Arabidopsis thaliana: one gene and its partners. The protein of the gene in region 2 interacts with the protein of the main gene of each other region in a pairwise test. Each region holds a gene or a part of one and is shown on either strand. Other genes may lie near its edges.

Region 1 (3,754 bases), on a different chromosome or scaffold from region 2:
TGCGTTAACTACAATAATTGGATATTGGTTATTTGCAAAATTCATGTTCTTAAATCATCAGTCTAAACAAAAAAATTAGATTAGCCGAAGATTTCTTCTTCTACCCTTGATGATACTATTTGGGATGGGCTTGCTTAGATGTGCCGAATCCAATTCTCGTTTTTGGGTCTATCTATATTTGGGCTGGGCTTTATAAGAGGCGAAGCCCATGTCGAACAATCAATTTTTTTTTAATTTTATATTTCTTTTGGGAGTCTGTTCTGTCGTATTGATTAATAAAGTAAAAAATCTTAGCCACAAAATTAAATCATCTCCAAGACGTATCAATATCATCATCAATCCACCAATGAAAAGTTCTCTCTTTTTTTTTCCCACTCTTACTCTGTTCTCGCTACAGAATCTCCTGGGAAAAAAAAAAAAGAAACTTGATCCACCCGAATTCCCCAAATCTTCACAATTTCTGGAAACTCTCTCGATCGTGAAGCAGAAAAGTGAGGTTCCAAATGGGTTCTGTTTCGGGTCAAACCCGAATTACAACGATGAACCTCTCGCTCTCAACAGCAGAGAAGAACCCTAATTTCCGCTCGTCGCTTCTCAATTCTAAGGTAATTGTTATCACTTCGTCGAGCTTCACCAAAAAAATGACTCCTTTTGCTTGATTTCTTCTTCTCCTCTTTCGCTTGTGTTTAGAACGCAATTTCAGATACTTTAGGGGTCTCTTCCAAATGCAGTACATTCCTCAGGGGTCAATTTCAAAGAATACATTTTTCTTGGCTACAACACACTCGACCTTTGAGAAAACGAACAGGTACTTGATTTGCAAACCAGACCAATCTCTTTAGAACTTTAGTTGTGATTTAGATTCTTGTTATGTTTGGTTTAGTATTTGGTCACGTGAGCTGCGTCATGCCGTTAACGGAAGAGAATGTGGAGAGAGTGTTAGACGAAGTACGACCATCTCTAATGGCCGACGGAGGAAACGTGGCGTTGCACGAAATCGACGGACTTGTGGTGGTTTTAAAGCTACAAGGAGCTTGTGGTTCGTGTCCTAGCTCATCAATGACGTTGAAGATGGGAATCGAGAGTCGTCTTCGAGACAAGATTCCAGAGATCATGTCCGTTGAGCAGTTTCTTGAATCCGAGACAGGAGGTTTAGAGCTGAACGATGAGAACATTGAGAAGGTTTGGTTTTTTAAAGGTTTAGTTATTTTTGGTTTATTAGCCCCTTGGTTTTGAAATTGATCTGAATGGTCCTTTTTTGGTTTGTTGTCAATTTAGGTTCTCTCTGAGTTAAGGCCGTACCTATCCGGTACTGGAGGTGGGGGGCTTGAGTTAGTTGAGATTGATGGTTACGTGGTCAAGGTTCGACTCACTGGACCAGCTGCTGGAGTCATGACTGTTCGTGTCGCGTTGACTCAAAAACTGAGGGAAACAATTCCTTCTATAGGTGCAGTCCAGCTTCTAGAGTGACATTAACCTTTTTATTTTGTAACTTATATACAAGGCCTATTTTTGATTCAATATATTTTATTTCCAATTATATAATTAGTACAACTAATACAATAACCATTTCTGTTGAAGAAAAAGGAAAAGAAAAAAAAAGTATCCTATGTATGAAGGACATTTTCTCTAGTGATCCTTGTTTTTAGGTAACAGTTATAAAATATTCATGACTTGACTACACAAAGATAATCGAACTTAAAGAGTTATTTCCTTAAACCAATTATTCTCTAATTAAATATGCATTTATAGCGAGTTCTTGGTGAGCAAGGATACTAGAATCTCTATAATAAGTCGGACATAAGAAGATATGAGGAAACACAGACATAACATAGTTAAGAGTTTCAACAATGTCAAAGCTTATAATCAACCGAATATTCAAACCCTCTGTCTGCAAAAATTTCCTCGTACGTAAGCTTCTCTTGCTTTTTCTTTTTAACTTTAATTTTGTTCTTGTTGTCTCTGAATACTTGAACATAACTATGGCAGAGACACGCAAACGTTCGTCTGTTCTCATCTGCAACTCACACGAGTACTAAAGTGAATCAGCCCTTCTCGTCTAAACCAGCCTTCCCGTTTCTGTTGATTGACTACATCCTAAACAACCCAAACTCTTCCTCCGATGGTCGCGTAACAACAAACGTTTACGGTAATGAAAAGGAAGTCTTGATTAAGGACAAGGATCTTAAGGAGGAGGTCTGTGATGCGATGACTGTCGGGTTTTCTCGTGATGGGTTGCGAGTCGAGCTTTGTGGCAACCACGGCGATGTATGTTCTCCCACCATCTTTTACAAGCCTACTGACCCCGAAATAGAAGACTTGACCGTTGATCTACCTCCTCTACCGACGGGTTCACAAATCCAAAGCCTGGTCATGTCCTCTTTACCTAAACGAGACAAAAATTGGGTAGTTGTTGTCAAGTTATTGGGATCTCAGTTGAGTATGTGCAGGCCTTTTGGCAGCCGTAAATGGATCAACATCCAAACCAAGCCTCAGAATATAAACCCTTCATCGAGCATCATGTTTTCCAAGAAAGAGAAAAAGTTCTACGTTCCAACTCCCGGAGGCAACATCTTGTGCTATTTGGATCCTCACTCAGAGGACGACGACCTAATTGATTTCGTGGAATTGGAGTTTGACGATCTTCCAAAATCGGTGTTTCAAGAGTTGGCCGACGTGAGTACATGTTCTAGGACAGACCACCTTGTGGAGTCACCCACCGGCCAACTTTTCCTAGTCAAGTGGTATACTATCTAATTAAAGCTATATATAGCTTTTGTCTTCATAACATATATACCAAAATCTCTAATCCTTTGCTTGAGTATCATATTGGCGCGCTTTATCATGTCTTTGCAGGTATGGAGAGGATTTAGAGGACATTGACAACACCACACTGTATAATGTAACAAAAAAGTTCATGGTGTTTAAAGAGGGAGAGAAACCGAGTTGTGTCTACACTAAGAAGATGATCTATACAGAAGACATTGGAGATCTTTGCATTTTTGTTGGACATAGTGAGGCTTTCTGCGTCCCGGCTAGCTCGTCCCCTGGCCTCAAGCCTAACTGCATCTATTTTGTGGGCTATAACTTTGGTGTTTATGATCTCACCACCAAAACTTGCACTATGTTCCTCACAAAAGATGATAATCCATTAAGGAAATTGGAATTCCCTTACTGGCCTCCTCCGGCTTCCTTTCCAGTACTAGCTCCTAATTAATTATCTCTCTTGCACGTGTTTATGTTTCGCTAATGTTATCGCTGTCTTTGCTTTCCCATGATTTCATTTAAATCCAATGTTCTCTTTTAATCTATGTTCAATGAAATTTATATTAGTGCCTTAAAAGAAGGCGAATCTATCCTACCAAAAAAAAAAGAAGGCGAATCTAAACGAATTCGGTTAATTCATCATATTTCTCAATTAATATACGTAAGACACACTTTGGCACAAAACTTATATAATTATTTATTTCCTGAAACAAGTTATCCTCTAAATATGTATATTTAATGTCCTAAGGTGTAGTACCCTCGGTATTCACTAGACAGAGACGGGGAAGACGAAAGAGTCGCACGTCAAATCAAAATCACAACACATATTTTGAGTGTTGTTACATTATTTTGTGGTGGATCACTATGTGGAGTCACCCTCCGGTGAACAATTCCTCGTCAAGTGGTATATATACTATAGACATTGCTTTTGAATAAACAATTATACAAACTATTAGGTTAATTACTCAACATTTTAATTTGATTTAAT
Region 2 (5,105 bases):
ATCTCCTATAATGCCTTTCCCTCTGCTGTTCAAAGCAATCTCGAGCAAAATTGCTCGTAAAGACATGGATTTGATAATTGCTGGTTACCAGGAACTCAGGGTAAATAATATAAACCATGTCTTTTACCAATAGTCAAGGTTATCATATTGTATTAACATAATCGGTGTGCTCTTGCAGGAGAAGAAGGTGTCGAGAAAGGAATTTTATAAGACGCTGAGTATGATTGTAGGAGATGATGATCTGCTGATATCTACAATAACAGGCCTTCAAAGGAGTTTGGGTTAGATTAATGTGTCGACTTCTCTTTGCTGTCGTGAAACCTTAATAGTTTGGATTACGACAAACGTGACTTGATCTTTAGAAACTTAGTAGTAGTACTGTTATATTTACTCTTTTGGTGAAACTAGTCTCCATTATCCTGTTTTTCTTTACTTGGAATCAAAGAGTCTTTTATTGATCAACAGCCTTGGTTCTTTGTGAGGTTTAATTCATCAGCTGGAAGTTATTCAACAGCCTTAGTTTTAAAAAGCGCGCTAATGGCGTGCCATGGCGCATAGCGCACCGATGCTCTAAGAATAGGGCAACAAGACGTGGAGGCGAGGCGACATCTATAATGCGCACGCCATACGTGAGCCTTGGCCGATGCACAAGGTGGCAAAGCGATCGCCTCTTGTGTTCAGGCGAAAACTCTTCGAAACCAACAACAGAATTCTGTGATTTTAGGGTTTGCACGAAGAAATGACTAGGAGGAATAGGATAAACCATTTTCTAAACCTAGCTGGTTAATACATGATTCAATTTAGCTGGTCAATACCTAATCCACGACTAGAAAGTTTAACCATGAGTTATAATTAGCTTATCAAACCAAATCAATCCTAGGTTTATCTTAAACTAAAACGGATTTGACCCTTACCTCTTAACCCACGACATTTTAACCAGTTAGAAGATGTAAAATCCCTAATTTTTCTAAATAGAACACCATAGACGATATAAGCTTGAAGGCTAAAACCATATGCAGAGAATCTGTTAATAGAACACCACAGATCTAAAAAGCGCGCGCTTTGGTGAGCCATGGCACATAGCGCACTAAAGGACTCTCTGAGCCATGGTGCGCTTTGTGCCATTTAAAACTCAGATTGGTAGTCAATTCTCAAATTATCCAATATACAACTTCTTTAACAATTAAATACCATTGACAATGACAACAATAACAGAAAATTTCTTCAAGAGCATTCGTTTGTAGGAGAGAGCAAAAAGCATGTCTTGACACTGTTTATGTAAACTGTGGATGAGGTCCAGTGTCAGACGATGGATCCCATCCCGGCGGTTTTATATTGGGCCAATCGCCACGGCATCCCAAGCGTATGTACAAACTCTTCTTACCTTCAATATCATAAAAGACGCATTTAATCTCCAAAACATTTATCAGATTAAAGCATCAATTTACAAATGGGTTTCTTCTATTTATTACCTGGAAGTCCCTTGTCTGAGATGATCAGTTGCTTAAGTGCACTCAAGGAAGCCTGAGCCACGCTCTTTGCATGCGTCGGGTCCCAACCTTGGAGCTTCACCACAACGTCGGCGTTTGAATACCCAATCTCCCTCTCTTGCTTACTTCTCCTCGCTTCTTCTTTAGCTGACTCTTCATCTACATTCAGAACCAATCTTGAATGTATAAGCAGTGATTCTCGTTTTCTGTTCAGAAGGGTTCATTTTAAGTGGATGTAGAGAGAAATTGACCTGTGGCTTCAGTCTGTGATACCCAAACGGTAAATCCGGAGTAAAGATGTCTCCACTGATCAGCTCTCCCCGCAGCTCCATGTTTACCTCCCAAAGTTGAGACAACAGTACGCACATGGCTGCAAAGACATGGAGATCAGTGGCTAATCTTGGTAACTGGAAAGAGATTGAACACTAGACATGACTTTTTACCTGCTCAAGCTTTCCAATACCGAACTCTCTGCTTCAGCTACAGAATCCGGCCCTTCTGCAAGAATCCCTAAAATGAAGACAAACAAAAGGGTCCTGAGAAGTGAGGAAGATTCTTGTTAGATGATGACCATGATCCAAAAGCAAACTTACAAGAATCGATTGTTTGCTTGGAAAAGCTTTCCAGCAATTCCTTTGAATCTAAAGGACTGTACCTGCAGATCATAACAAGTGTATAAGACTCTGAAATACTATTCATACTGAGCTCATGAACGAAAGGCGGGAACTGAATTCACCCACTGAGAAGAATCTGAATTCATACCCAAGGCCAACGGCTAGCTCTCGAGACACTTTTTGGTTGATTTCAGTTGAATCTCCAACAATGTAGATTGATGCACCTTTAAGAAGTTGCATCATTCCTGCAGTCAAAGACTCCCAGGACTCGACAATATCAGGCCACTTCAATTCCCCATCCACCTTCTTCATATTCACAACCAACTGATCTTCGTCTATGTACCTGTTCTGGATCAAAACCAAAACTTCAGCCCTCAAGGAAATGTCACACATCACAAAAACAAGTCATATAATGCAAGATTTACACGTAGCTAACCATATTGTTTCAGAGGGCATAATCTTCTCAAAGAGATGGTTAGTCTCTAGAAGTGTAATCAGCAATCCATTCCGCTTTTCTTTAACGGCTAACGATGTTCCATCTGCGTCAACAGATATATCCTTTGGAGAAAGTATCTCACCTGTCTTTAACCTCAATCTTAATTCCACCTCTTTGCCACCATCCGTGAACTGCATCATATATGAAAACGATTCAATTTTTATCTAACTAATGTACAACAACTACATGATCATGGTATATATACATAGACCTTGGAACCAGCCATTTATACGCAATTCTCCATTTTATCACTCAGACTGATAGACCAGCAACACTAGTATAGACGTGAATACGAAAATTCACCTCGTAATCGATAGTGCTGGTGGATACGGCGGATAAGCAATTACATGAGAAGCTATTAAACCGGTCGGGGATAACATTTTGAGAGAATCGCCGGAAGCCGCGACGTCGGAGGCTGTGAAATCCACTGAAAACGCGAGGAGAGGAACGAATCCGATTCGAAGAAAGGAAGGTCGCTTGAGTTGTGACAGGGTTTAGTGAAGGAGAGTTGAAGATTATAGCCAAACCAGAAGCAAAAGCAGCCATTGATGATTGATTTCAAACTCACTCACTCAGACAAAGTATCACTACGGGGATAAGGGAAAGAGACGAATACAAATCGTTATAATGGGCCTGGGTCAGGCCCATTAGTTTAAAGTTTTTTTTTTTTTGAAGTTTTAAAATTGCGTTTTTTCTGGGGTCATCTAAATTTCGTGTGATTTTCTAAGACTTGAGTAATCTTGTTTTCCGAAATTTTCTCACCAAGCTCGAACACAAAGATCGGCCATGGCTACGCTCTTCACCGTCGCTCGTCCTTCTTCACTCCTCTATGTTTCCTCCATAAATCCAAGCAAGACCTTCTCTCCTTCTATCTCCCTAAAACTTAACTCTCTCTCTTTCTCTTTTGGTTATCGTCCCAAGCCACTCCGGTTTTCTAAAATCCGATCTTCTCTGCCCTCGGAATCTGAATCGGAATCCGACCTAGATGCGTCTGCAGTTACAGATGAATGGGGTGAGAAACCTGGAGATGCAAATGAGCCCGACTCTCAGCCAGATAATGTGACCGTGAATGTGATTACGGACGAATGGGGCGAGAAATCCGGACCCGAACTTGAGGAATCCGGGACCCGGTTTATGGAATCGGATCCTCCAAGGAACGAAGACGAGTGGGGAGGAGAAATTGGAGGAGAAACTGAAGCCGACGCTGGAAATGGAAGTGCGGTGTCTGACCCGACTTGGGAGCTGAAAAGGTGTTTGGCGGATTCGGTGTACGGAACTGAATTAGGTTTCAAAGCTGGGTCAGAAGTCCGAGCGGAGGTTTTGGAGCTTGTGAATCAACTGGAAGCTCTGAATCCTACTCCGGCTCCGTTAGAGAATCCAGAACTTCTCGACGGCAACTGGGTTTTGCTGTAAGTTAAATGATCTTGTTTCGATGATGTAGGAACCTTTAGTTGTCGCTGAGAATTTCAACACTGTGAATTGAGAATGAGACATTGTGAAATCTTTGATGAAGAATGATAATAATCCAGGAATTGTTACTGTTGTTCCAATTTTGTGTATTTTCTTGGGTTATGAAATAGGTACACTGCTTTCTCTGAGTTGATTCCTCTACTAGCTGCGGGTTCGACACCTTTGTTGAAAGTTAAAAGCATAAGTCAGTCAATAGACACAAACAATCTCATTATCGACAACTCCACTACACTCTCCAGCCCTTTTGCAGACTTCTCCTTCAGTGCTACTGCTTCATTTGAAGTTCGAAGCCCTTCAAGAATTGAGGTAACTAAACTTACAAACACCAGTTTGAGTATTAAGGTCACTGAAGCATTAACAGTTTGTACTTTTGATTACATTCCAGTCAATCAAACCTTACCATTAAAACAAAGCTATGTTAAAAAGGTTTCTTTGTAGATTGAATTTGTATTGGTATCACCATCTGGTTGTCTTAATGTTTGGTAAATGTCAGGTTTCTTTCAAAGAAGGCACGCTAAAACCCCCGGTGATCAAATCAAGTGTAGATCTCCCAGAGAGTGTGGGCGTCTTTGGGCAGCAGATTAGCCTTTCGTTGTTAAAGCAGTCTTTGAACCCCTTACAAGATGTGGCAGCAAACATTTCACGGGCACTCTCTGGTCAGCCACCTCTCAAGCTTCCGTTTCCAGGAAACCGAGGCAGCTCTTGGCTCTTGACCACTTATCTCGACAAGGATCTCAGGATTTCTAGAGGAGATGGTGGCCTTTTCGTGCTTGCCAGAGAAGGAAGCTCTCTGCTTGAGCTCTGAAATATTTGATAAAGTATATATATAGCAGGCTTCATGTAAAAACCGTAACCACTACAGTAGAGACATCTTCAGAATAATGCTGAATGCAGATTATTGGGCCTAATCTTAAATTTTAATTATGTACTCATTTGTCTGTCACGAAATTAGATAAGTTCAGTTTCGGTCAGTAGTAAAAAACTAAAAAGAATGATTCAGCAAAATTGGAGGACTGATATGAGACAACGAGTCAG
Region 3 (6,032 bases), 870 kb from region 2:
TCATCGAATATTTGACCAGATTCTTACTCGAAAAAGAAAATCAAAATTACTCCGTCAAATTCATGGAATAAGAAATGAATACGGTGCCCAAAAAAGATGAACCTACACAAATAAATGATTCAGTGGATTTGTTTTGCTCTGTATAGTGATCAAAGTCGGTCAATTCGCATAATTAATTGGTCAAAGCCTCAATAATGATTTCCATATATGATAACATTGATGGCTCGTTTTTAACACAAAACTGAGGGGATGCATTGGAACATGATTATAACGTCTTATACTGCCGTTATAACGTCTCCGGTATCAAAGACAAGATACTATAACGAAAAGAAAAAAAAATACTAGAAGGAACGTTATATAAATAGCTATGAGAAAATAAAATTATGGGGTGAGAGAGGCTCGAACTCTCGACCTCAGGATCACTCAGTAGCTATGAGACCTACGCGCTAGCCAACTGCGCCACCACCCCAACTGTTACTATTAACACTGTTTTAGTTAATGAAATTCAAGGTAAAATCATGAAACACAAACAAAAGGCAGAACCCTTGACTTTATGAACGTTTGACTTATCCATCGAAATATAGAAATGGCTGCCACCCAAAAAATCTAAAATTTCTAGAAGCAACAACTGATGAAATTCGAGAAGAACAATATTCTTACATATAAAAGATTTAAAGATTATCCCCCTTCACTTAAAAAAAATACTAAACACATGACCTGGTCAAGAACAACACAAGACTCAGGCAAACATTGGTTGTGTGCTTTATTCGAAACTATAATAATATCTGAAGAAAGTGACAAGAAGACCAGAAAAGAGAGAGGTGAGGTGAAAAACGGTTTTGGTGCATGGTCCTCTCTAGCGAGCGTCCTTGGACAAAAGACCTTGCGCTTCAACTTTCCTTGCGTTGCGAAGCTCATCAACTCCATCTCCTCTCTCAAACACAGCTGCTGCACCCATCCCCGTCCCTGCCAGAGTTTACCAAATCAGTAAAACCATCCCTCAGACACATATTTCAGACACCAAATTCACAATGAATTATTCGAGTGAGAAGCATACCAATGCACATTGACACTACTCCAAAACGGCAGTCTTTACCACGGCGTTTCATCTCGTGCAACAATGTAGCAACACAACGCGCTCCTGTGAGAGTTTTAACAAGTATTAGCAACTGTTCATGAGCGTTTTATAATTATATAGACACAATGTAGACATTGATATGCTTTGAAAAGGACGGACTGCGGCAAGATAGAGCTCTTGTAAGTTGGTTAAAGAACCATTAGTGAGGACAGAGTTTATAAAGATATATCTCGGCTGTGGATTTCTTAAGGTTTGGTTGAGAGTTGAGAGATTCTCATTAATTCAAGTCTCTATGGTTTGGTAAATTGGAACAAGCTTAACAGTTTTAGTCCTGTTCTTAACAGATATACCTGTAGCGCCCAAAGGATGGCCTATGGCCATTGCACCTCCGTTGACATTGATTTTCTCTGGGTCAAGTCCCAATTTGTTACGGCAATAAACAAACTGAGATGCAAATGCCTGAACACACAAGGATTCAAACAGATGGTCATCATCAGAATGTGCGGGAAGAGATATGTGATAAGAAGATCATGAAATTGTTTGCTATATACCTCATTGATCTCAAACAAGTCGATGTCATCAAGTTCTAAACCAGCCGCCTTAACTGCAGCAGGAATGGCAACTGCTGGACCGATACCCATGATTGCAGGGTCAACACCAACTGCAGCAAATGTCCTGCAATATGTCCAATAGTGTGCTACTTAGAAAAAGCCAAATACAGAAAGAACAATGTATTTTCCACGTATACTAGCATATCTGTGTAAATGGAAATCACAAGCCTCTGCAGTTTTTTCGGTTTTCAGACTTCCACAGTCGTAGCTTTGTAAGTAATTATTACCCACCTGAATACACCAAGAACGGGAAGTCCTTTTTGCATTGCAACACTTCTCTTCATTAGGAGAACCGCTCCTGCACCATCACTTACTTGGCTGGAATTTCCTGTTTGCGACAGAACAAATGAAGCAATGGATTTAAAATTGTGATAATAAGAACTGTGGTTTCCATAATGAAACAATTGATTCGGGAAAAGTACCAGCAGTAGTGGTGCCATCCTTCTTAAACACTGGCTTCAGCTTCCCAAGAGAAGCAAGAGTTGTGGTTGGTCGGATACCATCATCAACAGAAACTGTAATGGGTTTCTCATCACCAGTCTTCGGGTCAACAAGCTGAAATTTAAAACACACGTTATTGACTAATACTAGAACATGAATGAAGTTCAGTAACTAATCCACCAAGAGAAGTCTTAAATGTTACAGTTATTGTATGAAGGATCTGAAAAATACCTTGGTCTTAACAGGAATGATCTCATCCTTGAATTTACCAGCAGCAGTAGCAGCAGCTGCCTTTCTGTGCGAGTCAACCTAGCAATATGACTCCATAGCTTAGCATAGCGATCAAAGTTATAGGTTATTTAAAATACAACCATACTGAAAAAGTTCAGTTCCCTTACAGCAGCTTGATCTTGCTCCTGCCTTGAGACACCAAAGCGTTGTGCTACATTTTCTGACGTAACACCCATAGGAAGAAGACAATTCTGCGCTTGTGCAAACTTCTTCACCTGAAATAACATAGTCCGTATTATAGTACGTATTAAAATAACAGAGCCAAGTAAGACTCCAGATAAGAGAGAATCAGTACCGCTGGGTTGACTGACCCTTCCCATGCCATTGGATTGGTAGTCATGGACTCCAAACCAGCCCCGATACCTGCATCCATCATATCGTCAGCTCGGTTCTCTATGAAAAAATGTGGCGTAGTTAAAGACGGTTATTCACTAACCAATGTCATAAAATCCCGCTTTAATGGCAGCGGCTACATCAGCAACAGCCTGAAGCCCAGATGAGCACTGTCTATTCACAGTTCTGACAGCCACGGTTTCTGCAAATGAACATAACAGGATGAGCATACAGGAAATAAAAACAAAGACTTTTCACCATTGTATTGTACTGTACATAGAAGAAACATACCAGGGAAACCAGCATAGAACGCAGCCATCCTGCATTCACTGGCTCTCTGAGATCCAGGTGCCAAAACAGTACCCACAACAATGTCACCTACTTCACTTGGGTTTAGATTCGTCTTCTCTATCAATGCCTATGTCAAGGAAGAACTATCTATAAATAGACGTAGAAAGGAAATAAAAACCAACAACAGAATAGAAAAGATAGCGACAGACCCTCAAAACAGGTGCGAGCAAATCATCGGGATATGTATCCTTGAAATTGCCACGTTTGGACTTGCATAGTGGAGTCCTATGTGCCCTGCAATGGATCAATAAGTGTAAGTCTATCAGAAAGAGACGAGAAATCTTCATACGTTGCTGAAAAACCAAATACCAAAAGAGTAAAAGCATAAGAGATGGGACTTACGCGACAATGACAACATCATCTCCATAGAGAGAGGTCCTCTGATATGCAGCACTGTCCCCAGCCAAGCAAGCAGAAGCCTGGGAATTTGGAAAGAACACGTTAAAGAGATCACACGTAGTAATTGAAATCAAGCTTTGACTTTTAAGAAATCATCAGTACATGCAGAGCACGGATAATTCAACCCAATCGAACAAAAATCAAACAACAACAAAAAAAAAAAAGATATCTATCTCAATCCAGTGAACGAAATACAAAAACAAAATCCAAGTCTTGAATTTGATCTCAATCGAGCTGAAACTTAAAATTTTCAGCTCACAGGCACGCCTCGAATCAAATTATAATTCAGCATCAAAATCAAAATCGAAAATTCCATATAATGAATCCAGATCAACAACGATCCATAATCCCCAGACTGCAAACACAAGAGAAGACAACCAAAAGATCGCGATAGATCGAGAGAGAGAGAGTGTGTGGTGATAGAATGCTTACAGATAGAGAAGCCTCGTAATTGTGCGAAGAAGAAGAAGAAGGTCGGAGATGCTCAAGAAGAACGCGTTGTCTCTCGATCGCTTTCTCCATTTTTTCCGGCTGATTAAAGATAAAATTCGGATCTGTTGTTTTTTCTCAGAGAAGGATTTGTTCTACACGAAAACTCACAGTCCTCGGGTTTGTGATCATTTATAAGGTAAGATGACTCACCGCTTTGCCCGTTCCGGGTAAATGATAATCCCAAAATAAGTAAGAATAAAAAATATCTCTTTTTCGTAATATTTCTTTGCTTAAACGACCAAAAAATATCATCTGTGACAGCGATACAAGTTCTTATCCTATAGTTGTAAAATCCAAATCAAACAGTTTTTAGCCTAATGACCTTACTCTAATTATGAATTAAAATGTTCACACTGGTTTGGTGATTGTTAATAGTGTGAAATAATTGATGATGAGAGTCATAGTCATAGATAAGCTGAGAGTGTGATAGAAGAAGATAAGATTAGGCGTGACGTTTGCCCCCGCCCGTTTTGGGCTTTGAAATGCGTGCCGTGTTTTTCATTTCCATCTTCTGGATCTTAATCTTCTTCATATTTACATAATAACCCCAACTATTTGTATTACTTCTATTTACGCCTTAAAGTTGCTATTAATTCTAAAAGTACCCTTCTTGAGACTTGATCGCTATTTTCTTTTTACGTTTTACCAACGTAAAGTTAAAGCCCATATGGTGTGATAGTTTGCAATACTATGGGCTCGGCCGGTTTAAACGAAATAAGAACGGATATTGTATAATAGTGAAAACTACATTTTCAATTAATAATGTTATTATGCGATTGACAAGCAGATGCAATAGTGTTTGAATAAAATTTTTATCAATATGAACTTTACTTAGGCATATATATTACCAATAATGACAATATGGCACTGCAACAATGCACATCTGCGTAAGGTTAGCATGTCAAGATCTCTTACACGCCGTGATACCAAATTTATATCGACTTGCAAATATGGGAGATTAAAGCTCTCTTTACTCAATTTTACTCAATCTTACAAACATTTGTGTGGTACTTTCCGGAAGTTTTCCGACATGTAATATTGAAATTAGATCGTGTAGAGAGTTATCAAATAACAAAAAAACTCGAGAAACTTTGTAGTTTTGTTATGTATCAGACTAGAAATTAACTCTAACTGAATGGAGAGATTAACATTGAAGAGGAAGAAACAAAACTGTACGTGATCAGCTTTACATTGTGCTTGTCTATCTTTACATTGTGATTATTGTAATATCGCCCTAATATTTTCGCATATAGTTGTCCATTTAACCTATTAGAGTGAAACATCTATATATTAATACTTGTCAATTTAATAATCATTGTAAATTAATAAACTTTTCCGGTTCAAAGTTGGACGAATATAATATATAACGTAATTGGATAAAAATGTTATTTGTTTTTCTTTGAATTTGTTTTAATTTTTGTGAAAAAGTCATTTTCAATATTTTTACTACATCTAAAAATTAACACTTATATAAATCAATAAAATATTTTATTCCCCATGTTATTAATTTATAATTTTATTTTACTGTATTAGCTCTTACATGCAACATCATAGACTTCAGTTTTATTTCTAACAAGATTATTTAATCTTAAACATCTATCCAATGTCTAATTTTTGTGAAACAATATAATATCTTATCAACTTTAGTTTTCAATCTTATCTTTTTATCTAATATACTTTGAGTTGGCAAACAAATCCTATGCAAAGAAGAGACGAAATTATTGAAAATGTTAATTTTCTTACTTAACCATACTAAATATCTTTATTCTATCATTTACTATATTCGTTATATTAACATATCTATGTTTTTTGTAAAGACAAAATGTTAACCAATAAATTTTACATTTTTAATAATTTTGTTTCTTCTCTGTATATATATTTTTTCCTGACTCAAAATTAAATGAGATAAAAAGATAATTGAATCTCTTATATATGATTTTAGGGTAAACATTCCCATATCTTATTCTTTTATATTATCTTTTTTTAATAACAAATACACATGTAAACTGTAAAGTATACATTTCTTATCTATATGA
Region 4 (6,938 bases), 2.8 Mb from region 2:
GTAACTCCAGTGTTTTTCTTTGGGTTTTAGCTAAGATTTTTAGGCTATATGAATTGCATTTGGTTTGGACTATATGTTATCTGTGTGGAATCGAATCAAAATTATCAATCTGGTTCGTCGGAGTTGGATCAATTGTGGAAGTGACAATTGCTAGTTTGTCGTTTGTGTTTTTAATTTCGGTTCGATTTACATGGTTTTGAAAAATTCAATTGATTTCGGTTGGGTTTGAATTGGAATTAAAGGAGAAAAACACTGAAATCACGCACTCGAGGCTTTTTTAAAAAAGAGCGAGTGTGTTTCAAAACAAGCCATTTGGTGGGTTAGAACCCTCAGAAAACGTAGACACGCCCTCAACACGCGATTAGTGAGAGTGGGTGTGAAATCACGTAAAAGGTGAGAATGGGGTATGACATGGAGCGCTCTGATTGGCTTATAAAATGAAAATAGTAGAGATGTTGCTCCTCTCTTCCAATGTTTATATTTATTTGCTTCTCTTTTCCAAAGTATGAAACTAATGCAATTCATAGAAGAACACACACACCAAACACGAAAATAAAAGATTCAAATATGAAATTTTAATAGAAATATTCCAATGACAAAGGTCTTTTTAGTCTTGCAAACACACACACCAAACACGAAAATAAAAGATTCAAATATGAAATTGTTCTTAACCAACAGCAACGCCTCCAATTTTTTAAGAGATCAAAGAAAGAAAACAAATGATATTCATATTCTTCAAAGCTTTGAAAGTAAACCAGTCTGAAGAGCTTTCGGTGCTACAACCTCTTTGACTTCACTCTCCTTAGTCTCCAATTCGCATGGATTCGGTGGCACATCTACTGCCGGTGAGCAGTTGAAAAATCCATGTGGCTGTATTTTACCCAAAACCCAAAACATTTTTTAACCAATCCTTTGTAAGGTTTTTTTTCCATTGAAAGTTACAGTCAAAGATTTAACTTACCATTAGTGTGAAACCAATATGTTCGACGGGCATAACCGGCCAATCTTCAAGTCTAGGAACATGTGTGATCCCAAACACGTACCTGGTGACAAATGAAAATTCCACATTGAAAGTCACATAATTTGGTAAGTAGTAGTTTTTAACTGAATCAGATAAGTAAAACAAGGATACAGACCAAAGAACGACGTCAGATTCTTCCAAGGAGCGATTCTGTTTCACCCATGTGGCAAGACCTTCACCAGCCCGTGGGTTTTGGTTTGGGAATTCTCCTCCAGGAAACTTCTCGTCTGGGGCGTAACGGGTAACCCAGAGATTATGCTTCAGGAAAGCGGCTCTTCTTAGAAACTTCGCCTCGGGTCGAGCTAATGGCAAACAATTTGAACCCGGAACAAGTTTGTATCCCGTTAATTGGCCCGTCCTGTTTACAGTCCTTGTGTTCCTTACCTGATAACACATTACAATGATTTGTGTTGAATATACATCTTGCGTGAGTATACCATCTATACTTCAGCTACAAATCATATTCAATGAAACTCTGAGATGATTTTTTGGTAAAGGAACTCAAGTATGAGACTATATAAACACATGACTGAAACTTAGGGATGCTCAGGTGATCTCTTATCCCAAATCCAGTCTCAAGGATGAGACTAGTAGATAGTCAAGGATGAAAGAAATATAAACAAGGATATTACAGAGACGGGTACGAGCACTGACAATGTGAAAGTTAAACATGCAATAAATGGACGAGAACATGCAAGGTACGGTTTTTGCTTACAATCCAATGGCGAGCAGAAAGAGGGTCACAGTCACGCATCGCCACTGCCTCAGATTTAAGTAACTTCTCTTCCGCATAAAACGCATTGTTGTGGACATTGTTCTCACCTCGCTCGTCAACTCTAACATTTACCTCAACTACCTACAGATAAAAGTGGATTAAGCTGACTATTGAGCAAAACCAGCTGACAACATGTATCTAAGATTTTTTTTCAAGAACTATAGGGACTTCTAAAATTCATATGCTACCAATGCCATTCCTAAATACTGAGAAAATAATCCGCATATGTAAGTAAATAACAAGAAGAAGAGCAGCATCATAAAAAGGTACCTGATTAAAAGCTTCAGCAGGTTTACAGTCAACAGACATATCCATGCGAGCGATAAAGAAATGTTGATGGACTGGTGCATACAACCCAGGAGCAATAGTAGTACCGTACTTTCGAGTTTCACCTGGCTGCAGAGCTCCTAAACTGAGGATACCAGTAAGTTTTACTTCAGCTTCGATTTTCCCATCCTACAGTAAGACATTCAAGACATAAAATGATATTGGTCTTCAAATATCTAGAAAGATGAAACTACAAATCAGAAAACAAATGAAACTCGGATTCAGCACTGTAAATCAATGTCCTCAAGTGAAAAATCACAAGCAAAGTGCCACTAAACTCAGGATTTATTCTCATGCGGAGACACATCATTTGTCTTCCCTATAGAAATTAGATGCAAATATGACTAATATCTGCTTTACTCAAGAAATGAAGAATCACGTATTCCACTAACCTGGTAGAAGTGCCAGTAAAACCCATACTCGTAGTTGGCAACAGTACATAGAAAAGAGACAGTTAGTCTCCTAGATCTTCGCACTTCGGCTAATCCTGTTCTCCAGTCCTGATGTTTCCACAAAATCCCATGATCTTCTTCATGCAAGCAAACACAGTTCTCAATTGTTTCAACTCCTCCAGTGAAATTTGTGAAATGGGCATCGAAGTACTTGATAGATCCCAGACAGTCACACCCCTATAAAAACCGATTGTTAAACACAAACTGAGATCTGAGTGGTAAGAACACCAAAAAAAAAACTGATGTCAAACCTTCTTAAGCGAATGTGCGTTTTTCCCGAGACCATCCTCCCCTGCATCAAAAGCATTTTTCCTGTAATGTGGCTCATTAGGATCGCCATAAGGCACAACCATTTCCACAAAACTTAGCCTGTGTGCAACAGGCCTTCGACCTCGACTGCCATCAACATATGCTACCGAATGTATGACTAAACCTTCCCTTGGAGTGAATCCAATACGAAAGTTCCACTGTAAACAAAATGTTGAGCCAATTTAGAAATAAGCTTAAGCATAATCACTTGGTTTCAAGTAGGCTATTACTGGAAATCTACCTTCTGCCACTCGACAAAGTAACCCCTTACACGAAAACTTGGACCTTCAGGCTGAATAATCTGGAGAGGCTTAACATCACTTCTATCAACACCCCCTCTACTTTCACCTGGGGTATAATTCCTCAAAGGGTCAGGTGGGGGGAGTGGCACAAACTTACGGTCTTCAAATTCAATCACCACCATGTTTTGCATGTCTACAAGTACATAAATGCCCTCAACTGGACGAGCATATCCATTTTCCATAGGGGAATCACTATCAGTCCGACAGTATATAAGGGGCTTTGCAAGCCTACGACTAGGAGCGTCAGCCTCACTGTGATAACCCACACACCTGCACAATACATTAAGAGGTAGGCTCAGAGAAGAAGTACACCTTAATTGTCAACAGAAACGATGATGTTGTTAACATACCAGGGATCAACCATCACTAGATCCATGTCTTCAATACCTCTCCTCTTCATTGCCTCTATGAATGGTGGGAAGTCTTTGACAATCGCTTCACATTCAGCATATTCAGCCGCATCCTAAAATCAAAAGAATCTAAACTTAGAGACTGGCAAACAACGGTAGCATCTAAAAGTCACTTAGAGATCCAATTCCTTAAAACATAGTTTAACATACCATGGGTGGCTGAACATCAGGTATAACTTGTGAGGAAACAACTCTTCCCCTGTGATGTCCACCCCGAGTGACAGCATGAACTTCAGACAATGCCACAATCCATACACTTGTCTCATTAGACTTTTGGTTGTAAACAACAAGTCTAGCTCGCCTTGGAGGGAGCTTCATCGGAATCACAGGTCCAGATTTAGTTCTTGGAAGTAGTGATGGCTGGAACGGTGGGAAAAAGTAAGCATCAGCGAGCGCCACAACTTGTTTATCTGGTTCCACTGATGCCACCTCAATGAAACGCATGCCATCCCTAACCTGCCAAAGAAAAAGTAAAACAGTTTCAGTGACAATGTTATCAAGCATTCTGCATTTGTCAAGAATCAAGTAAGTTTGCGCACCTCAGGATTGGCACCAGCTGCGCGAACAGTCGCCACAGCAACTGATATTTCTGCAGCAGAAAGAGGATCCAATGGGTGCTTGGTTTCAGTCCTTGGCATCACAGAAATCCCTGCATTGGTGATCACAACAGAAAATCAACTTCACAGAAACCACAATAGTGATCACAATTAGATCTCAATCAGAAGCCATCAAGTAGACAAGAACCAATTTCACAAAAAGTAACCATCATCAACAAATTCCAGTAAACAAGAAGTCAAGTAATTCAAACGAATCGCGAGCTAACATCAGAAGAATGAAGGACGATCAACGATCAAATCAAACCTTTGTTGGCAGGTTTCTTGGCAGTATTATCAGGAAACGAATCGACAGGGCGGATAACGGATTCCAAAGAAACTTTAGAGGCTCGCTGATCGTCAGCGTCGGACCATACAGCAACGGTATCGGGAGCAGCGGAGACGAGTTTGGGAGGCGGAAGAGAGCCACCGTGGTGAGGACATGCCGACGTCTTTTTCGAAGCTGAGGCCATTGAATAGGGTTCACAAGTTCTCCAAATCCACCAAAATCAGTTTCAACACAATCCACTGACATACAGCAAAACCTATCACTATCCGTCGCTTGATCTTCCCCCTTCTCTCCACTTCTAGAAGCTCCAAGAAGAAGAAGAAGAAGAAGATTCCGATCTCCGATGATGACACAAAAATCCACAGCTACTACTACTAGTACAGTCTTCTCTCTCTCGACTTGAGCTCCGTCACAAGAAGTTGGATTCGTCACCGGATCTTGAGTTCTCCGTGATCGTATAATCGCTCTTCAATTTGTTTGTTTTTTTAAAGAGTTTGATTTTTGTTGGAGAGTCCAAGCAGAAGCGGCCAAAGCCTTATTTGTGGGCTCTCCTACTTTTTAACAAGTACCTATTTATATTTTTTTTTAAAGGTCTAATTATTTGTTTTAGAAAGAAATCCAACTTGGATAACGACGTGGATGCACTATTGTTCATGAGTTTCTCAATTTGTAATTTACTATTTGGAAATATATATTATATGTGTCTAATTAGAGTCAAACATATTTTCCATTTGAATTTTTTAAGTACTAAATATATAAAACTGGAAATTAAAATATAGGTAAGGAAAATATTGGAAGTTCTTATCTAAGGAGTTTTAACAAAGGTAAAGTATATAGGATGATGGAAATAGAAAAATATGACAATTGACAGACTACATAAGGTTATATGTCACTATCCGAAAATTTATTTCAAAATAAAAAAATTGGGAAAAAATTAACCAAAAAAAAATGAAACATATATGTTTTGTTAAATAAGTTTGACGTGTTTCACCAAAATTCTACACGCATAATTATTATTCTTATCAGGTTTATGCTGTTATTGGACACTACATTGTTTTAAGAAGTAAGCAGAATGGAACATAGCCAAAAAAAAAACATGAATACAACCAAAATAGTCTTATTAACTTGAGTTTGAGGTGTTTCACCAAAACTTGGAGACAATTGATATGATATATACTTTTAGAGCAGTATATTAATTATTAGATCCTGACAGATATTATAGAAAATATGTATGAAAACAAAAAAAAACGAATTGGTGTCGTTTATGTTTTATCACATAAAAATCACAAGAAGCTTATAAAATTACAAAAGTTACTAATCAAAGTGTTTTGATATGTTATGGTTTTAAGATTGTAAAATACAAATATAGTGCATGATATATAAATATATGTATATAGTTGTAATAATTAGATCGTGGAGTGGACCGCATAATCCATGCAATATCGACCACCAAAGAACCGCTGTCTACAACTAGTGGTATTACGAGGCTCACATTATTTATGAAATTCACGAAATTAAAAACTCTTCATTCGTCCATGACTCCATAATCTAGTTTAGCCTTACATAGTCCATGACTCCATATTCTGTCATCACAGTTTATATATTATTGTCTTCGGTGCGAAAACACGTCATGTTAACGTAGACTATTGAATTACACTTTGTTTTCTAGTCTTTGGTTTGTTTTGTTTCTTGTGAAACCTTCAATAGTAGGCAAAACGTTTAGAATTCCAATATAAACTGTTCTCTTTTGATGAATGAATACATAAGATTTTGGTCTATCACATTGTTCTCAACTATATTGTTCATTGTTTTTTTATGTTTTTTGGCTAAGAACTATATTGTTCTTTGTTGTTAAGCAAATGTATTACTTATCTTATTATTTCTTAGATATCTTTTGTCATTACTATGGATTTGCCTTTGTATGCCTTGTTGCGTTTGGTAAAGATCAAACTCATACTCTCTGGTTTTGTTCAGTTACTGATAGAAACAAGCACCAATTCTTGATTGACCAAAGAAAAGTCCCGAGAAAGTAGAATGTGTTCCCTTTACAACAACCTTTAACCTTCTACTTCCCACAGCTACTTTGTATTTAGACTGGATTACGACTCTATACATTAAAACACTTGTCTATCCAGCTCAGCACCAACTCAGGAGCTTTCTCATTGAGCTCTTCATTTAGAGGTCTATCAATTTGCTCCTTCCAGTCTGCACTGAGTCTCAATGTTGTTCTTTATTTATCTCATTCTCAATGCAATAGCCATGAGTACAACAAAGCCTTCAATGCCGTTAGATTGCAAGTCAAGAGAAGGTTCACAGTCGAACATTTTGAGTGGCTGATCTGATGCGTTCAGCGACTATTGTTATTATATCAAGCTTTGAAGAACAAATAAACATAACAATTTCAAGGTTCTATTCAAAAATCAGAGATGTTCAAGAACGAATAACGTGAAATAAAATTAG

The links.
Region 1: the proteins of SKL2 (region 2) and AT4G25920 interact in a two-hybrid assay, tested with the Arabidopsis thaliana proteins (one large-scale study listed by BioGRID).
Region 3: the proteins of SKL2 (region 2) and PKT3 interact in a two-hybrid assay, tested with the Arabidopsis thaliana proteins (one large-scale study listed by BioGRID).
Region 4: the proteins of SKL2 (region 2) and AT2G42490 interact in a two-hybrid assay, tested with the Arabidopsis thaliana proteins (one large-scale study listed by BioGRID).

The regions. Positions count from the first base shown.
Region 1 is NC_003075.7:13,163,625-13,167,378, forward strand, and holds AT4G25920 (hypothetical protein (DUF295)), read left to right. Parts: upstream 1-1,850; coding exon 1,851-1,907; intron 1,908-1,989; coding exon 1,990-2,744; intron 2,745-2,856; coding exon 2,857-3,217; 3' UTR 3,218-3,248; downstream 3,249-3,754. Other genes in the region: NFU3 (NFU domain protein 3), read left to right, coding at 504-605, 691-808, 884-1,182, 1,279-1,470.
Region 2 is NC_003071.7:14,912,079-14,917,183, reverse strand, and holds SKL2 (shikimate kinase like 2), read right to left. Parts: upstream 3,248-5,105; 5' UTR 3,147-3,247; coding exon 2,904-3,146; intron 2,732-2,903; coding exon 2,541-2,731; intron 2,448-2,540; coding exon 2,253-2,447; intron 2,146-2,252; coding exon 2,084-2,145; intron 2,001-2,083; coding exon 1,934-2,000; intron 1,861-1,933; coding exon 1,742-1,860; intron 1,650-1,741; coding exon 1,473-1,649; intron 1,385-1,472; coding exon 1,275-1,384; 3' UTR 516-1,274; downstream 1-515. Other genes in the region: SRO1 (uncharacterized protein), read left to right, coding at 1-100, 179-286; AT2G35490 (Plastid-lipid associated protein PAP / fibrillin family protein), read left to right, coding at 3,387-4,009, 4,181-4,376, 4,564-4,875.
Region 3 is NC_003071.7:14,046,958-14,052,989, forward strand, and holds PKT3 (peroxisomal 3-ketoacyl-CoA thiolase 3), read right to left. Parts: upstream 4,444-6,032; 5' UTR 4,027-4,443; coding exon 3,937-4,026; intron 3,525-3,936; coding exon 3,448-3,524; intron 3,340-3,447; coding exon 3,255-3,339; intron 3,173-3,254; coding exon 3,046-3,172; intron 2,957-3,045; coding exon 2,858-2,956; intron 2,785-2,857; coding exon 2,717-2,784; intron 2,637-2,716; coding exon 2,529-2,636; intron 2,440-2,528; coding exon 2,362-2,439; intron 2,245-2,361; coding exon 2,112-2,244; intron 2,018-2,111; coding exon 1,921-2,017; intron 1,754-1,920; coding exon 1,630-1,753; intron 1,538-1,629; coding exon 1,429-1,537; intron 1,142-1,428; coding exon 1,058-1,141; intron 967-1,057; coding exon 857-966; 3' UTR 521-856; downstream 1-520. UniProt on the Arabidopsis thaliana protein: Involved in long chain fatty-acid beta-oxidation prior to gluconeogenesis during germination and subsequent seedling growth. Confers sensitivity to 2,4-dichlorophenoxybutiric acid (2,4-DB).
Region 4 is NC_003071.7:17,690,865-17,697,802, forward strand, and holds AT2G42490 (Copper amine oxidase family protein), read right to left. Parts: upstream 5,160-6,938; 5' UTR 4,663-5,159; coding exon 4,458-4,662; intron 4,246-4,457; coding exon 4,136-4,245; intron 4,053-4,135; coding exon 3,747-4,052; intron 3,650-3,746; coding exon 3,537-3,649; intron 3,457-3,536; coding exon 3,126-3,456; intron 3,043-3,125; coding exon 2,827-3,042; intron 2,753-2,826; coding exon 2,516-2,752; intron 2,253-2,515; coding exon 2,067-2,252; intron 1,878-2,066; coding exon 1,737-1,877; intron 1,406-1,736; coding exon 1,137-1,405; intron 1,044-1,136; coding exon 962-1,043; intron 871-961; coding exon 736-870; 3' UTR 543-735; downstream 1-542.